Drosophila melanogaster: one gene and its partners. The gene in region 1 interacts genetically with each later gene. Each region holds a gene or a part of one and is shown in the gene's direction. Other genes may lie near its edges. The genes, in order: skd, tna, Pvr and Scr.

What was found.
Region 2: of skd (region 1) and tna, changing one enhances a phenotype caused by changing the other (phenotypic enhancement), as found in Drosophila melanogaster (one study listed by BioGRID).
Region 3: of skd (region 1) and Pvr, changing one suppresses a phenotype caused by changing the other (phenotypic suppression), as found in Drosophila melanogaster (one study listed by BioGRID).
Region 4: of skd (region 1) and Scr, changing one enhances a phenotype caused by changing the other (phenotypic enhancement), as found in Drosophila melanogaster (one study listed by BioGRID).

The regions. Positions count from the first base shown.
Region 1 is NT_037436.4:21,024,395-21,029,321, reverse strand, and holds the start of skd (skuld), read left to right. Parts: upstream 1-1,887; 5' UTR 1,888-2,182; exon of another isoform or gene 2,183-2,394; intron 2,395-3,117; exon of another isoform or gene 3,118-3,192; intron 3,193-3,773; 5' UTR 3,774-4,301; coding exon 4,302-4,370; intron 4,371-4,927. Other genes in the region: Pdss2 (decaprenyl diphosphate synthase subunit 2), read right to left, coding at 1-237, 417-606, 665-1,014. UniProt on the Drosophila melanogaster protein: Component of the Mediator complex, a coactivator involved in the regulated transcription of nearly all RNA polymerase II-dependent genes.
Region 2 is NT_037436.4:10,833,674-10,838,566, forward strand, and holds the start of tna (tonalli), read left to right. Parts: upstream 1-1,854; coding exon 1,855-2,072; intron 2,073-4,893.
Region 3 is NT_033779.5:8,236,866-8,241,622, reverse strand, and holds the start of Pvr (PDGF- and VEGF-receptor related), read left to right. Parts: upstream 1-1,744; 5' UTR 1,745-1,931; exon of another isoform or gene 1,932-2,704; intron 2,705-4,757. Other genes in the region: Spn28F (serpin 28F), read left to right, coding at 1-768, 828-966, 1,022-1,158.
Region 4 is NT_033777.3:6,846,970-6,851,596, reverse strand, and holds the start of Scr (Sex combs reduced), read left to right. Parts: upstream 1-1,615; 5' UTR 1,616-2,052; intron 2,053-3,091; exon of another isoform or gene 3,092-3,681; intron 3,682-4,627. UniProt on the Drosophila melanogaster protein: Sequence-specific transcription factor which is part of a developmental regulatory system that provides cells with specific positional identities on the anterior-posterior axis.

The DNA.
Region 1 (4,927 bases):
AGGCAGCGGGTTGTTCTGTTCATCACGCTCTCCAATGAATTCCGACTCGGAAAAATCTCGCACCGCCGACGAGATCAGCTCCACCACCTCCTGGTTGCGCAGATTAGCCAGCTCCGCACTGGAATGGCCCAGAAGATAGTCGCCGGTCAGCAGGCCGATCTTGTTGCCAAACGACATGTCGTCGTAGGTGTCCACATCCTGCCCAGCCTGCGTGCTCGATTGCAGATTAACCACGCTCTAAAATGGGACCAAGTGTAAATATTTTTATAATCTATGAGGCATCAGCTCGACCAATGACATATTGATGTTCGTTTCTTGAGTTTCGTCAACTAAATTTGAGGAAAGTTAAACTCATTTGCATACAAACCACTTTCAGTTTACGAGTAACTTTCGAATGCATTTGATCAAAAACTTACATTGTGCACCAGATGAGATATCCGTATCATCTCGGTGACCTCGGCCAAAGCCCTTTGGGAGTGCAGCACTCCGGCACTCTTGTCCTGCTCCACGTCTGGAACACTGGGTGCATGTCCTGCGGCCTTGGACACCAGGAGCACTATCAATCCCCAGGCTTGCATCGTGTTCTTGCCATTGTAGAGCAGGTGCCTGAAGCGGAAGATTCACATAAATTTCAACGCCCTATAAGCCCTTCAGCACCACTCACTTGGCCGTCTTCATCAGCGGATGGGCGCTGCCCACCAGTTTGCGCAGGTGCAGCGCCACATTGGCGATCTCGTCGCTGAGCAGCCAGCGCAGACTGAGGAAGGATGTGGGATAGCCGACGATGCGCTCCGCCTCGCTGACCGCCCTATTCCAGTCGTGTCTCGGGGGCGGGGTCGTAACCTGTGGACTGGCATGCTTTCCACTGGTCGTCGTCGTCGAAGTCCAGCGCTGAGAAGTGAAAGTTTGCAGCGCAGGCGCAGCTTTGGCCACTTGGAGTGGCTGCAGTTCGACGGGAATCCTGCGTCGCATCTGTTGCATAATCCTTAACCCACTGGCGCGGTACATGGCCATTTTCTAGTTATTTTCGCCTACAACACGACTATTTTTTTCAATTGCTTGTATGAAAATCGCGTTTCTTAGCTCCGCTCAGTTAAATCGTTCGTCGAAAAGTGAAATCTTCGAGGTCCGTCGCTGCTTGCGTCTCTGCCGACGTCGCTGTCGGCGTCACCTGCTGCCTACGCTGCTTCTTCTTCTTCCCGGGCGGCCCACTTTTACAGTTGGTCGCTGCTCCGCTCTCAGGTGGCCGCCAAGCGTTCTGTTTGTTTTTATTGCCCCACGCAGTGTCATGGAATTCCGAGGAGGCGGCGCAGGGGGTGTGTAACGGCGGTCTTGAGCGGGAACAGGTTTTCGCACGGCAGCGCCGCTTCGGTGCACACTTTTTGGCCATGGGGAGTACGGTCACTCTTAGGGATGGGAACACAAGTGGCTGGTGTTAGCGATGCAATTGGATGCTAGTGGTGACAAAACACTTATTTGTTTCCATTTTAATAGATTACAAATTCTTCTATTGTACAATTTATTATAGTTTGTATTCACCTTTAAAAAAATTTGTTTTAAGAAGGATCAAACAATCAGTTGACGGAATTGATTCAAACAGAATAAAAATATCTTTTATTTTACACTTCATTCCAATCACTTTACGCATTCGCACCACTTAAACCATTTCATTAAAAGGTTTCTATAACCGTTATTAAATTAAATTTAAGAGATCCTTTATTTATTTATATATAAGATGTGTAATACCTTTGAAGACATAGAACAAATAATTTAAAAAATATACCATTCTAAATTAAGAAGTATTAATTTGTTGTATATTTTGAACTTCCCATTGTGAAGACTTAGTGTTCTGTGGTATTTATTAGTGCTTTTGTGCCACCTCTTTAGTAGTTTTCTGTCTGTGCTAGCTGGCAACACTGGCTCTGCCGCCGACGGCAAGTTTTCCCTCATATTTGTTGCGAATTGTTATAAAAATCGATCGCAGATTTTTCCGTATGCGAATGCGATAGATAAAGTGGCACAAAATGTAAAGATTCAAGACAAGTTTACATCGGTAGTCGGAAAGAACATCAAAAACGGCGATTAAAACGTAGAAAAGTGATCAAAAATGCAAATGCAAAAGCGATTGCCCGAGAAGTGAGAGGGTGTGCGTGTGTGCTGTATGCGTGTATGCGTGCAAGAGGTGCAGCAAATTAAATATAAATAATAATGCCCAAGTGCCGTTGTTTGACAAATAATTGTGGCGCAAAATCATTAAATGATTTTCAAGACGTGTTTAAGCATTGGCAGCGGAAATGTTTAATGGTTTTTAATTGCTCTAGCGGTCGCTGCCCCGGCGGTGTGCCTATGTAGTGTGTGTGTGATTGAAAGAAAGAGGTGGAAAAGGAGGAGAGTGTAAGAAAGAGGAATATGCAACAACTGTGCGATTTTAGTTATCGATGGCATTTTTTTCCGGCTATTTCGAGTGGCCGAAAGTAAAAATCAGAAAATTTGATGTGTACACACACATTACTGCCCAGAAACAGAGAAAACGGTGCGAAAGGAAAACTACGAAAGTGGTTGCTCTGCCATGTAGGTGTATGGTTGATGCGTGTGTGTGTGAGAGGAATGCTGCTGCCCGTCTATGTATCACGTTTCGCACTCTACATATTTGCGTGCGTGTGTGTGCTATGTAGTGTTGTATAGTGCATAATTTATGGAATTTCGGATTTCCTTCGAGTTTCGTTTTAGTTTGAGATTTTTCCCTTAATTTAATCGATCTATGTGCTCGGTCTCTCTCTGTCTGCCTCTCGCTCAAAATGGTTGCATCCCCAAGAGATGCACAAAGAGCGAGCGAGAGCGAGATAAACAGACGCCGACGCCACTAACGCACACGCACACCAATGCATATGCAGTTAGCTGGTAAAACTTGTTTTCTCCCTCTCTCCTCTCTCTCACTCTCTGCTCAGCAAAAAGAGCAAAAGCCGCTATTCGAATTCGGCCGCTACTCGCCCTCTTCTGCTCTCTCGCCACTCGCCGCTGGTACAACTACACTACATACTGGCTATATACCATATATATGGCCGATTCAAAGCTAGGCGAGCAAAATTTCCATTGTGTGTGGCGACCAGCGTTCGCAGTCGGTTCGAAAATTTCTGACTCGTCATTCGTGCGCAAAAAACACTAAATACAACGCAAGAAATTCAAGCCTGAGTAATAGATTAAATATTAATAAATATTTTGAGCTACTGTTGTTTTTCGAAACCAAAAAATAGTCGCAGCTTCGAGTTTTGTGTGTTCACAGTACGTGCGAGTGCATGTGTTGGTGTTTTCCTTGATTACTCATCTTGATTTGCGCTCTATAAATGTGTAGTTCTTTTTGATTAAACATAAATTGGTTGGGTTTGAATTCGAATACAGCCGAAAACTCTTACCTATTTTATTTTGTCTACATCAACGATTAACGAAAATCCAACGACTTTCATCGTCGTTTGTGTGTTTCTAGAAGTAAATGTGTGTGTGCGGTGTATACTCGCTGCCTGTGGCTGAAAAAAGTCAATTTCTGAGTCGCTCTCTCTCTCTGCTTGCTCTCTTTTTGCATGAATGAAACAGCGAATGAACGAACCCTTGTAATTGTGATCTAGATGTGTGTGTGTGATTGAGTGAGTGTAGCAACAAATAAGCAAGTTAAAACAATAAGAAAATTAACTAATAAATGCATCTCTTTCGGAAAAGAAAACATATGCCAAGCGGGAAAAATGTGTGCTCAAAGTCTAATTCTTCTTATATTCCAGCTTTAACCAACAACAACAAAAGCAACATGCTTAATTCTACAGTATGTGTGTTTCATTGCCAAAGCAACGTTTACGCTAACATACTCTCCCCAGAGAGCAGATAAATACAAAATACACATAATAAAAATCAAAACCAAACATCAAATAGCAAATTACAAACAAAATCTAACACCACAACAACAACCACAAAATATCGAAAGTAAAGAAACGAGACGAAAGAGAGCTCTTCATTATTTGTGTATCCGTGTGTGTCGTCTCTCTCGCGTGTGTGTCCGTGCCTATACCGTTGTGTGTGTGTGTGAGAGAGTATTGCTGTGTGCGTGCAGCAGAATCAATAATAAAAAATAAAAATCCAAAATAAAAAGAGCAGAAAAAGCAGCAAGCAAATGTGCAAAATACTACAGAGTATCAAAATCAACAACAAATAACAACACATCGGATAAATAACAATAATAGCAATACACTATAAGCAAACAACGTTGAGAAAATGAGGTGCTGCTGCTGTGCGAAGAAAACAAGCCAAGAACTATGACGCATCAAAATCATCAGACAAACGGCGCAAGTTTGGAGGATTGCCACACAAACTTTTATGCCTTGGTGAGTACTGTGTTGATTTTCTGGGCAATTGTTTCTTATTTTTCGCAATGGGCTTTATTTTTTTTTGCTGCAGTATCTAGGTCAGTGTTGATGATTCAGGAGGGGTTGTTCTCGAGGGGGCTCATTGGCCTGCGGGGGTGTGTCACCCACTCAGAAACAACAATTTACATTACCGATCATGGGATCATCCTCTTCCCCACCCCTCTCTCGCTCGTAATCTCACACTCTTATCGATTGGTAGCCGAAATGTAGGCGCTGCCGGTCAGACACAGCTGTTTGTCGTTATCGCTGCAGAAGCTTCGCAAATATCCTACAGAAACTTAACATGAATGCAGCCACACGAAAATATGTTAAAACCAGATATTGAACTATTTATCATTTCTAATGTTTTACATTATGATGTCATATTTCATTCTTAGGGTCAATTGGCAATCTCTTCTCTTCTTTAATATTTATACATAAAATTGGGGCAATGTACGCACAAAAATTTTGAATGTTGTGATGTTTCAGTGTTTAATAAGTAATTTACTTATCTTTTGGTATGTTGATATCCAACA
Region 2 (4,893 bases), about 10 Mb from region 1:
TTTCCACTCATTTTTCCTTTGGCTTTGCCAAAAAGTTACCTTAATTTTCGAAGCTCTCCTTTTGGACCACTCCTTGCTGGAATTTCGGAGATTTCGTCCTTCGCTTTTTGTGCTGGCGCATAGAAAATGAAATGAAAATAAAATGATACTCATTAATTTGATAAATCGCGGACACAACAGAACTCGGCTTTGGTCCTCCTTGGGTTTTCTTTATGTACTTCCTTAGTCCTTTCCACCACTTCATCCTCTTAGTTGGTTTTCCTCGCTTTGCTTAATAATACCGAAAGATTTTATAAATGACCAAGCTGCAAATGGAAAAAGTTGACCTTTAGCGTAAATAGAAACACCATCAACCCACCACCGCCCCCGTTAAATGTTTCCGCTTTTGTGAGCGTTGATTTTGTTTTCCCCACCCCATCATCATCGTCATCTTTCGCATTTCTTCGTGAATTTTTAAGTAATTTCATCGTCCATTGTACACTTCAGAAATTTGTAAGCAAGACTTCTTCACCACTTGGGCATAGAAATATTCTGTCCAACATTACGCACTTGGTCAGCTATCTGCGCTCTTGCCCCTGCGTGTTTCCCTTATTTTCCTTGGATTTTTTTTCGGAGCTGCCAAGCTTTTATTAGCACACATTTAATAGGGTCACGCGTGTACTCCCACCCCGTGGTAGGTGTTTTTTTATTATTATTAATTTTCCAGCAAGTTACATGGGCACCAAGCCGAAAGCAAAACAAGGGCAGGACGAACAGGATGCGGGAGGAGCCAAGGAGCAAATCAACCGCCCACAAAACAGGACAAACACCAAGCAAACGAAATGCGAAAGGACACTTAACTGCGACGTACAACAAAAAATAGCGGTTCGTTGGGCGTTAGGAAATGAGGTCCTATGCCAAATGAGGTCACTTTTTCCACCTCTCACTTCTCAATTTTCCCAGCTAGACCGACGAACGACGAAAATATTTGAGGAATTACCCCAAAGTGTATTGCGAAGAAAGCGGAAAGTTAAGGTATATACTTATATTACTCTTTTAATAAAACTAGATCATTTAGAAAACTCGACGAGTTTAAAAATTCCCTTATTATTTGAATGAATTGAGTTACTATTGTGTTGCAAAGAATTTTCATAGAGATGGTCTATAATTTTCTAAGTATATCCCATACAAATGGGAATTTACATTGATGAAATACATTCATTGATATGAATTAAGAAGATATTTCGCAGTAATAGCAGATTGCAATATTTTTATTGAAAATTTTTCGAAAAGTATATTTTCAGCACTCTCAATAAATCGCACAGTAGGAATATTCCACTCATATGAGGATCACAGCACAAGGTCTAATGTACTTAAAACCCGACTTTAAGAGTTTATAGAAATACGCTGACAGTAGCTGCTGTTATTCGCCAGCTAACTGAGTCAACAAACCATTAAAGCAATCAGTTTGGGGATCGCATTGCATTACCAGGAATTTTTCATATATTACCGTGAAATGAAACTCGATCCCGGACGCACATGACGTATACGCAATATGCAAAAAGCTTCGCGTGGCCTTCAGAATGGGTGGTGAAGGCAATCGAGTGCCAGCCGTTGCTGTAAGACTGCAGCTGATGGCGCTGGTGATTAGTCCACCTATGGCTAAGATGTGCGCTGGCCAACTGTAATAACTACTGCCAGGCACTGGAGGCACTACTAATAAAAATTAATCGCAGAGGAAGTTGGACAAAGAACTAGACGGCAGTTGCCAAAGAGAGTTCGATGCGTTTGGAAGTGCGGTAAAAAAATCTCGGTTCGATTAGACGTGGTTTGTTCAACGTGGCGTATACGTAACGCAGATTGGCAAGTGGCGAAATGAGTGAAAAGGTGGAACAAGTGAAGGAGTCCAGAAAGGAGAAAGTCAAGGAGGAAATCACCAAAGATGATTCGACTTCCGTTTTAACGTTTGACCCACATCCCTATTTTCCATTCCTGTTCGATCCCTATTCGTCATCCAAATATGGCTCACAAGTGAGGGAAAGAAAAATCGATCGATGCTTGAAGCAGTTGCAGGATGCACTCAACGGAGGGAAGTATGTTATCCTTAGATATAATAGACTATATATATATCATAGATATCGAATTAGTATTTATAATTACAGTGTTAAGATAAGTCTTTCAGTTTTGAGACTTACAATAGTAACGGTACGACAATAATTTACCAAATCTATGGCCTCACACTACAACATAACAATCTTTTGCCAAGCGAATGACTTCATAAAGCAATCCCACCTTCTTTACCTACTACGTTCACCCTTAATCACCATCAATTATGTTCACTGTCAATTGGCAAATTGACAAACGATTGCAGTTGGATTTGTGTAAATAATTCAGAGCGAAGCACAATGCCAGCCGGGGCAAATTCGGCTCGTCCTCCGGCTGGCTGACTATTCATAAGGATCAAAGGCACACAGATGTACAGACATACACAGACATACACTGGCTGGCATTCCAGTTAACCCGAAAGTGAGTTGTCTTGCGGTTGTTGCTGTTGCTTGTCAAGGGGCATTAGCATTTCAGGACTGTAACTAATCACAAATGATAACATTTGCATGTGCAAACACAGACGCACGCACACACAGGCATACAAGGACGAAGGTGCGGGCCAGGCTATTTGCATACTTAAGTGTGCAGTTATTACCTTGTTATATCGATATAAATAACAACTGCGAAACGGACGAACACAGATTGCGCCTAATGAATCCTTGTTTGTTCTAATAAGTTTTTAATGCATTATTGATTTACACATTGACCGGACAAAAGTGGGACTTAGCAGCAGATTAAAATGGCCAGAAATCACCACAGCAATTGTAATGTTTAAATATTCAATGGGCTCGAGCGGAAAGTATTCAAACCCAATATATATATATATAACATATTCTTCAAAGCTCTTGATTAATCTTTCTTTCTTTCTCAATTGCTTGGCATAATAAATAAAAATTGCACATTCATAGAAAATACATAATATCAAGTATACGCCACGTAAACCGTTTGAACAAGACATATCCCTTGGCAGCAATCAAATCGAGGAGCACACAAAATGCATATGAAAACATTTAATTGTATTTGCATACAATTTTCCCATATCTACAGAGGCCAACACCCACTACGGTCAGAAATGAATATTTATTGCCAGCAAAAATTCAAATAAATTAAATAATGAAGATTGCATTTTAACGGGCAATTTTTGCATTTGGGATCAACACAACAAAAAAATATATAAAATTGAGAGAGGGTTCCTATCTCGATTTGTGATTGAATTGTCACATATCATATTTTGCTGATGACTTTTTTTCTATTTTCAGCTTTTTCTATAAATAAATAATAATATCAGAAATAATTTGTTGCACATTTCGTTTCGGTTTGCCAACCGCAAATACGAATCAATGGCACAAACATTCCGTTCGAGTTCTGTAATATTTTGTGAAACACAAAAAATAAAATGGCAACAAAATACATTTGCTAAAACTACTATAATAATAATTAAAACAAATAAAAATAGTTGCGGTGAGATAATTCACAGAATTTATGCGGAAAAGTCAAATATGATAATTGCAACTTTCCGTGGGAAACGGACAGTAGAAAATAAATAATGAGCTAAAAGTGGGAGTGGTGGTTGGTTGGTAAATGTGTGCCATATTTAAATAAAGCCAAAGCTGATTATAATTGAAATTTTGGTACGTCAAATGGCGCAAAAAATAAATCGAATAATTACAAAAATATTTACTGACATTTCATTCTGTAAAATGGGACAAATAAAAGTTAACTAGTTGAAAAATGTGCGGGAAGTGGTAGTTAAGTTAAAATACATTTGTTATTTGAAGAGCTGCAGTATTGCATAGTAATTATATTTAAAATTTATAATAATATTGCTCAGTTCAAGACTAACATTTTTTATATTTGTTTAGTTTCGTTAGCAGTAAAAGGTTAATATTTGTTCATTTGTATACAACAAAGTAGTTTGCAGTGCCTTAAAGAACTTAATTAAATTGTTCAGAACACAAAAGAGCCATAAATTGATTAAGGATTTTTACGACGGCCTTCGGGATGAATATCTCAAGAATTCCAGGCGATTTTCTAACTGAGTAAACAAACAAGATTTTCAATCTTAAGCTTGCTTCCTGTGCTCATCCCTCTGATTTTCCACTTTCCTCGGCTCGGATGCTGCAAAACTTTATTTCCATAAAGCGGCGAGCATAAAATTAATTTACTAATTGATGAGGCCCTGATCTCAATACGCAAAATACCCCGACGAATTATCATCATCGTCGACAATGCAAACAAGTTGAAATTCAATTACGCGAGCGACGGAGACGATGGAGGGCGAAGATTTGGAGGGAATGGGGCTCTTCGGAGGTGGAAACTGAGAAAAATAATCATAAGGCTGCGAGAAAACAAAGCGAAAAGCGAAGAAGCCAAAATGGAAAGGGAATTGTGAACTGAAGTGGGGCGGTGGATACGAGCTAAAGAGCAATAGCAAATATAAGTAAATAAATAAACCGAATAAACTGAAAATTTATTGAAGAAATACGCGAGCCGCACAAACAAAGGCAGCGTACAATGATGATGATGATGATCAATCGGTGGGGCTTTCAGGGGGGAGCATAAATAGGGGGGGGGAGGTGCCATATAGGCGACAATACGCAACCAAAATCGGCGACGATGCTGTCGATAAACCGACTTAAATCTCACACCCCGACGACAGCAATGGATGACGCCAATGAAAAAGCGACGACAAATGACGACTTCGACAATTAGAATCCAAGCGTTGCCCTGCTGCCCATAAACAGATACAAATGCAGAGAAAGAAAAATGTATCTCTTAATTACAAAAATCTCAAAAATGTAGAACAGG
Region 3 (4,757 bases), on another chromosome or scaffold:
AATGCGGCCAATAATCTCATTTCCTCTCCCCTTTCCGTGGAAATCGCACTGAGCATGGCCTACATGGGAGCCAGGGCAAAGACAGCCCAAGAAATGAGGAATGTTTTGAAACTGCCCGATGACAAAAAGGAAGTGGCAGCCAAATACAAGGACCTTCTGAGTAAACTCGAAGGACGCGAGAAGGTAGCCACTCTCAGTTTGGCTAATCGCATATACGTGAACAAAAAGTTCCAGCTAGTACCGAGTTACAATCAGATGGTCAAGGATTCATTTATGGCTGAAGCGGAGGCAATCGACATTGTCGATCCCAATAAGGCTTCTTCAATTGTCAATAATTGGGTAGATAATCAGACGCGTGGTAAAATCAAAGACTTAGTTTCATCCAATGACATGTCGAAAATGGAATTGATCGTCTTAAATGCCATATACTTTAAAGGCCAGTGGGAGTACAAATTTAATCCCAAGTTAACGAAGAAGAGGAATTTCCGTGTTTCGGATCAAAAGAGTGTTCCTGTCGAGATGATGTCACTATTTCAATCATTTAGGGCCGCACATGATAGTGAACTGGGTGCCAAAATTATCGAGCTGCCCTACAGAAATTCAAGCCTGTCCATGCTAATTTTTCTACCGGACCAGGTCGATGGACTATCAGAGCTGGAGAAAAAGATTGTAGGATTCAAACCGAAACTTTCCAAAATGGATGTAACTTTAAGGCTTCCCAAGTTTAAAATCGAATTCTTCGCTCAACTAAACAAAGTTCTTGTGGCGGTGAGTATTCACAGATTATTCTTGATACACCCTTACAATTTATAGATATTCATCTATAGATGGGCATACAAGATGCGTTCGAAAAATCTGCTGACTTCAAAGATCTGGTCGAAAACAGTAACGTTCATGTGAAAAAAGTCATTCATAAGGCGTTCATCGAGGTTAATGAAGAAGGAGCTGAGGCAGCGGCTGCAACAGGTATGATATAATTTTATTATATATATATTTGTATAATATGTTTTATTTTTGCCAGCTTTACTTTTCGTGCGCTATAGTATGCCTATGCCGTCATCTCAAATGGTTTTTAATGCCGATCATCCTTTTGCCTATGTCATTCGCGATAGGGAAACCATTTATTTCCAGGGCCACTTTGTGAAACCGAATGAATAAAATGTACTATTTCTTATCAATAATAAATGGAAATTGTATTATACTTTATTGTAGAATAAAAGGATTTACCAGTTTCCTGAAAATATTTAATAGGTGGAAAGTAGTGAAAATGCTATAGTCGAGACCCTTATAAATCACAATCCCCTTACTCAGCTGACAAATCGTTAGAAATGCTTAAATGATACTAAATATTATTTAATAAAAGAAAACTTTATTTTAAGCACTTCGATCTAAAACTAAAACCGTTAGGAAATTTAGTACGCATGGCATCACTGGCCGCCACTGGCCAACTGGAACTGTTTTCAAGCGGTCTGGCATCGCCGCGAATAGCGTGATTGCGTTCAATTTTTAGCTCGTTATTTAGTACACTTCACCTTTCAAAATAATAATGAAATAATAATAAAAGGAAACTAAACGAGAGATAAACTCCCTAACGAAACAAGAAAATTCAAATGATGTTGACTAAAGATATAACAAAAATATTATTCTATCCGTTCTATTCTACATGCTGTAGATAACGCTCATCGATAGCAAAAAATAACAATCGAATCGGATACCTCGATAGTACCGTCGATAGTGCCCCAGCTCTAGTTAACGTTAACTTTTCGAGCTGTTCGGACGTCAAAGCGGAAGGAAATTTCGCGGGCTTTTGACTTGTGTTCGGTGCAAACTGTTCAAACTTTGCCGACGACGCAGTATTTATTGTCTTTCAAGAGCAACCGATACTGCTGAAGTGCCCCACGCAGAAAGTGTTAAGCACAGAAAACCACAACGTAAGCGTTAATTTTTGAAAGGCTCGAAGATACGTCCGATAATATAGATATAGAATCGTGTGGAAACGAAACCAAATCGTGTCGTATATAAGTATAAGTGAAGCATCAAAGGTGCTAAGCAAATGAATCCGCACTCAAAAGTTTAGATATCGATGTGAGCGAACCCCCACACCTTCGCAAAAGTAAAAAACAAACACAGATACGAATCGGAATTCGAATACAAGTGCAAACTCAGCCACAGGTGGTTGACAAGAGTTCTAAGTGATTGTCAATCGTAAGCTCGAAAATCGAAATCGAATTCGGCGCTCGTGATGTTGCTCAATTCGATGCAATTATACAAAAAAAAAACACCCAAAATAGTCATGGTCACTATGCTCCTATAGATGGTGTACATAATGAACTATTATCAGTGACCTTTTTCTAAGTGCGTGTGTGTGTGTGTGTGCTATTATCACTGCCTGGTATTATTCATTGATAAGTGCATATAAGTGTTGGGTCTACGAAAAGTGTGCGTGTGTCTATGGTGAATACGTCAGCGGCATTCCAAGTAATCAAGACTGCAAACATCCACCGGTGCCAGGTATTCAAATCGTGATTCATCGCCGATCGTGACTGTTGTACGTTCAAAAGTTGTTGTTGTATCTTCAATAGTTGTTGTTGTTGCCAAGCTGCTGCGATCAAACGGTAGACTGCGTAAGACTATGAAAATATGAATAACACTACGATGGATTTCGAATTTACTCATACTGCTTTTCCAGAAACACCCAAATAAAGTTGGTATATATACATATATATGTACATATATATATAGAAGAAAGGGTTCACCTTTCTTTTGTTTGCCTGGTCAACTGAATGTGTCTATAGCGACTTTCTTAAACCGGTTCCACGCCATCCGTTTCTTGACCAAACGAACTGTTGATACATTTTCCCCCAATACGTGACTCAGGATCGAGAAGTTCTGATCAAATCAGATGCCCATAATTCATTGCCTCCAATTGCACACTGTGCCCAATTTGTTTATTGAATACAGACCTCCTTCAGTTTGCCGACTGCTCCATTTATCTCTGGCCACTTCAAAAGGCTGCCCAGCCCAGGCTGTTGTTAATTGCCATCGTTCTCAATGTCCGGAAAATGTGGTACAAAACTGCTACGAATCGTCAAAGTTTGGAGTCATAAAAATGTCCGCGAATGGTGTTGATGAAATATTTATTGTAATTCCCCTGGCCAAATTCGCAATTCACCTGGCATCAAGCGTTGAACAACTGTTGTGATAAGCCAGAATAATCAATGGATACTAGTGGTTCTTGGAAAATGTGCACCCATCACATTGCTACTGGCCACTTGCACCTCTTTTTCACACCTACCCATTATGCACATGGCACATTAATCAGGTGGGGCTTATGGCCAAGTATCCACCAGATACGCACACCTGCCCCGCCCCCCGCAGTGGGTGTCAAATTAGAGATACTTTACTGTAGTTGATTGTGCTGAAGTAGAGAGCTCCATTACGAATAAATTACTTTGTATGCACTGGAAAAAATGAACAAAGTAGTTCTTTCGCATTAATAGAAACTAATTATAAATACACACAAAATATTTAAGCAGAACTCGCCGAAAATAGACTTCAAAATAATCAAAGAATGTGTGTGACAACGAATTTGTGTGCATTTCAAGCGATTGTAATATCTCTAGAGATATTTAGAATGCTGATATGTATTATTGCACAAGAGATCTTTTTAATCTCAAGAGGATTGCTTATGCACAGAAGATTGACTTCCTGTTGTAGATAAAAACACTAGAATTGAGTTTAGGTACATTTTGTACATCTGTAGAGAGAAAAATCATTTTGCGTTTCTCTAAGGCAGTTCGGATAAGCTGAAACATTTTTGAGAAACCCCTTAACTCTTTGGGCGAATTGGCTCATAAATTTCCATTTAAGATAATATCTGTTTAATTGAATTTGCCGGTTACCAATAAGCCATAAATAAAACCGATTCGTTGGACAATCTCGGCCAGCATTGAACACGTTTTCACACCACTTTGTTGGTTGGCTGGCTGGTTGGTTGGTTGGTTTGGCATTCTATGAATGGACACCTTCGCCTCTTTACATCCGCCGTGGTCTGAGTCAGAACGTAAATAATAAATAACAAATAATAAATTGACAGCGGACAACAAATGTTTTGGCCAGGCCATTGTAACTGTCTGCATGGAGAGGTGGAAATAACTTGGCCATAAATCTGCAAAAAAAAAGGCTAAGCAGGCAATTGGCTTTCACCTGAGCCCTAGACTAAAGCCCATTCATAAGCGCTGGAAACTTTAGACTAAAGCCCATTCGTTGGGAAAATTTTATCTGCCCCATAAACTGCACGTAATCAAGTGCACTTCGGAGAATCAGGGAAATAAGAAAATATATGTATATATATATATAAAAGCAATCTTATTTCCGTCGGGAATAAAATGGCAGAAGGCAGCCAGCCAGTCAAAACAAAAAATGCATTGAGTAAACAAATCGCATAAAATTGAGCCATGTTTTGAGGTCACGGCGAGGCACTAAATGGGCTATATACATTGGCCATATTTATTTATTAATCGGGCGAAACCCAAAACAAACAAATTAAACACTTGTCGGCTATTAAGTGAACGCATATAACATTTCTATTTATTCGCCAGCAGCTGGCCAACCAACCAACTTGTTGTCGCCACGCGTTGTAGTTGTATAATATGTGGGCAGAATGCCAACGATTCAATTTCACCGGCAATGGTCTTTCTATTATTTTTATTAAGTTCCCAGTTTATGGAAAAGAAAAGAAACAACTTTTCCAAATC
Region 4 (4,627 bases), on another chromosome or scaffold:
GCAACATGCAAGCGATGATGAAAAATCGCCTGCAACATGTTGGATGCTGCTGGGGACCCTCCATGGATCTAGAATGGAATGGGATCCGAGAGGATGCTATGCTATGCTATGGATTGGGATACGAGAGTCTGGCGCTGGCTGCCCGCTGGCATCGCCAACATCAACTCCAATTACAGAAGTACACGCAGGCGTCTCTCTTATGATTTTTTTTTTTTAGTTTTTCATTTATTTTCCATCATTTGTTTTTTTCTATACTTTTATATGGTTTGTGGATGATGCGGGCCAACCATAAAGAGCTGACATGTGTGTTTCAAAAACACAGCGGAAAACATATGGCAAAAAATACGACTTCTATAAGAAGAACAAATCGAATTGGTACATAAACTTAAGCTATAAATTCCGAAATACGTACTTACAAAATTTATTTATATTTTAATAAACATATTTTCGAAAGAATTGCTGATTTCGCGTTTCGGGTTTCGAAAGTAACCGTTCAGTACCACTTAAAAAAACACTTTTATTACAAGTTCGTATCAAATAAACGTATTAAGTTTATACGTTTTTAAATAAGATAATTTTTAAGACACTCACTATAAATACTTATTAAAACAAACTTTTGCTTTTGCAATATATTACGAATGACCTATGCCATTTATCTGTATTTGGTATATGTTTGTGGTTTCGCAACATAAACGTTAGATTCCAAAAATAAAAATAAAAAAAATAATCTCATTCAAAATCGATTTTGGGTGTGTCTTAACCAGCAACTCATTTTTATGATAAAAAATAGCTAATCAACATTTAAATCTCCGAGACAAACTAATCAATTGAATTCAAATTCAAATGACGCCAAAATCAAACCATATGTGTGTTCAGCTCTGAATGCGATGCTGGATTGTTGGTAGCAAATATGAAATCGACTTTTAATTAAGGCATTTAGCCAAACAAATCAAAATCGTTAAGCCCCGATGCTGAATGAATCATGAGAACTTGAACTTGGCTACGGCCCAAAGAGAACCCGATCCGCAGCCCCGAAACAGACCGATAAATTTAAATTCAGAGACAACTGCCAACGAGCTCGTTTTAAAGGAGGAATAACTTAAGCTTCAGCAGGAGACTTTGCATTTTGCCAGGCCAATAAAAATGGAAATGAACGCGGAGCGGAACGTTTATAAAATAATAATGCGAAATAATAATGTGGCGGTGATTTAGCGGAACAGTGCCACGATTGAATACAAATAAAGTGGGGGAGACGCCTAATCTAGGATGATTTCGGCCTAATCTGGAGCGTGAACCGGGGGCAGATGTGTCCTGGAGTGGCTGCCAACTACCTGTTTTTTCTCGCTTTTCTCGTATTTCTCGCTTTTCTCGAGAGCGCGCTTTTCCCCAAATCGAGGGAAAAGCTGGAGCGCCATAGGCCGGTTGCCGTGGCACCCTCGTCGCATAAATCAAGACTGGGGGCGGAGTCTGCCGTGGGTGCAAGTGGGACAGCAGGATTTTCGAAAATGCGCACTGTCCGTCCTCTCTCTCGCACTCGTTGGCCGGGTCCTCAAATGATTTACAGTGTTCGAAACGCACACAAGGCAACGCACGAGAGGGTCGTTTTGTCGGTTTTTATGGCTCAAACGTGAATTGAACGTGGCGCACTTCAGTCGCCAAGCAGCGCGCTCGGTCTTCTGCAAACATAAAAAGATACAGATACACGTTCTCGTATTCGTACGCGTAGCAATCCGCGAAGTTTCCGCTTGAAAGCCAGTCTTGCGATTCCATGGAAAGCTCTTTGGCGACGGCAAGGTGCCATGGTCTCCCCATAGCGGATACTTTACCGACTAACTCCTTTACATAGGAGCGGAATTACCTACCCACCTCAAATAATTTCTCAAACTGCTCATCTTCGCAAATAACTAAGATAGCAAAGTGCAGTGCAAAAGGCAAATACAATTAATACGAAAATAAAAAGTATACAGTGAAGTGCTGGCTAAGAAAACTAATTGAATTACAACGACTTGTTCGTAGCGTCTGATTGGATTTCCCCAAATCGTCCACATAAAGGTAAGAAAATAACAAACGTAGAAAAACTAAACTCTGAATGTAAGAAGAAAATTTAAGAAAGTTTTGCCCTTAAAGGTTTAAATGAAACCATCGATATATCGTTAAATGGTTCCTTTTAACCTTTCTAAACTTTTCCACTCAAATCATTCTGAATTAAAACTGCACTGTGGTGTGGAGGATTGAATATTTTAGAGTCAATTTAACAAACAATAAATATTGTAGAATACAAAAAAGGTGTCAATTGTAAAAAATCAATATAATATATATATATATATTTTTTATAAATATATATTATTTTAGCAAGTTCAGAAATCCAATTACTTTACTTCTTTGCAATACCTCCAAATGTTATATAAACTAACTGCACACTTAACTAAAAAAAAATATATGAACAACATTAAAAATATATATTAAATCTTCAGAGACAGATTTTACTTCTCCAAACTCCCAAAATGAGTCCCAGAGTCTTGATTTTATCCCAACTAGCCCAAAGTACGGAGTTCGAATGTTTATGATTTGGTCCCCCGAAATCGATCTCACACGGACAGTGTCGGTGAGAACAATAAGACTTTAGTCGCAGTTCGAAACATGATTTTCGAACTACCGAGTAACGATCTCTCTCAATAAGAACTTGTTCGAAACACGCGAGAGCGGTGCTTTTCGAACTACCGCTCTTTCGAACTCACACACACACACACCGATGTGTCGTATTCGTATCCGTGAGATACAATTTGTGGGAACGAATTTCTGGTTTGGCGGTTGATTCGAAACGTTCTTCGCGTCCGCAAAGGTAGTTTCAGCACATGCCTGAGAGCGAGCGAGATGGCGGAGCGGCGCAATGCCCGTTGTCTCTCTCGCACACTTTTCGAATAATGAACACTGCACTTGGACGACGATATGTAGCTGTATAGCCATATAGCCTTACTTGCTCGTACTCGCAGATACAATTGGACGGGGGAAATGGAGCAGTATGAGTGAGCCAGAGCGCTGGCGTATCTGTGTTTTTTATTGATGCTCAGAAATTTGAATTATGCCCGAGCAGTCAAAGTGAGACATTGGCGCTTCGAGCACGTATCCGCGGATACACCGGAATAACAGAAAAAAAAGCACAAATAAAAAAACTCAAACAATCCAACACTCAGCTGTTCCGCGTGTAAAGACCCTCGAATACTGTTCGATTTTAGCGAAAGATGGATGGACTGCAAAGTGCTTGCATCGATGCTGGCGCTGATGGACAGTCATAAATTCGGCGTGAAATTCGCGCAGATACTTAGATACTCCGTCATAGCGCATATACTTATCGTGATCTGTAACAAATTGCGCGTGTGCTTGTGTGTTTGTGATACCAAAAGCCGTCCAAATCCGTCGCTTAGCCCTTTGCGGCCAATTACCCATTAGAACCATCCAAAACATAAGCCTGCAGGTAGGACGCAAAAGTCTAGCCAGTTTGCCCTCAGGATGCCATCGGATTAATTTCCCAGATATCCGGCTGGTTGTGACAATTCTACCTTCGTAATTGTGCACGTTGATTTCCGCACTCAGCACAAGTGAAAATCGTGGTTCAGTGCAGTGAAAATCAGAAAACAAACTCACTTGAACGGAGGTGAACGCCGTCGGCTAACTAAAATTGTGAGTAAACGAGTTTAACGGCTGAAAATATTTTAAGCGCTTTGGAACAGGTGAAAACAGTCATGGAAAGGATATTTATTCGTTGTCAGTTTTTGTTTTGTATTTTCTAGTGTTTTTTTTTTTGATGTGTTAAGAACTTATGTAGCAATATTTGGTCTAAAGCAATTTAATTATAGTTTTTTCTTAACAATTTGATGCGATTTTATTTATCAAATAATATTTACAATAAAAAAGTGCTTTGTTCGTATGTACATATTTTTTTAAGTAACAATATTTCTACCACCTTAAATTTTATTTTTAATCTTACAATCTTTATCTTGTACTTTGACTTTCTTATTGAAGAAATAATACCAACACTAGTAAGTTAAAAAAAAATAAGAAATTTTTAATTTCTTTAATAAATCAATTTAATATTCTTTGAAGAAATCATCAAAGGTGCGTAATAATTTCCCCTGTTTGCTTCTTAAGACACTCCATATCAAATAATATAATTTGAAAAAATCAATGAAATATATTTTGATACCTAGTAACCGAACCCAGAAAATACATTTTATATATTTCCCTATATCGGGGCTTTGTTTCTGTATTCTGTTTAAGCAATTTTTCATAAGGTTGCGTGTGCGGTATCAACGCAAGGAATTTTCACTTCATTAAAGCGAAATGCAGCCGCTTTTGAAATAATTAAGAGGCACAAAGGCGAAATGTCACAGCGAATGAAAAATGCCTAACAAGCGCCGCATATAGAAGGTTAATCCAGACACATAGCGTTATATACCGAGCCCAAGCTGGGATAGGGATGAAGAAATGCCCACGATATAGGCTTGGCTACTATCCGGGGAACTCGAACTCATGCTGGCCAAGACGCCATGGGGCGAACATGAAATTATGTAAAATAAAAGAAGACGCACTGGGCTGGAACTTCATGGGACTTTGCCAATGACCGAGT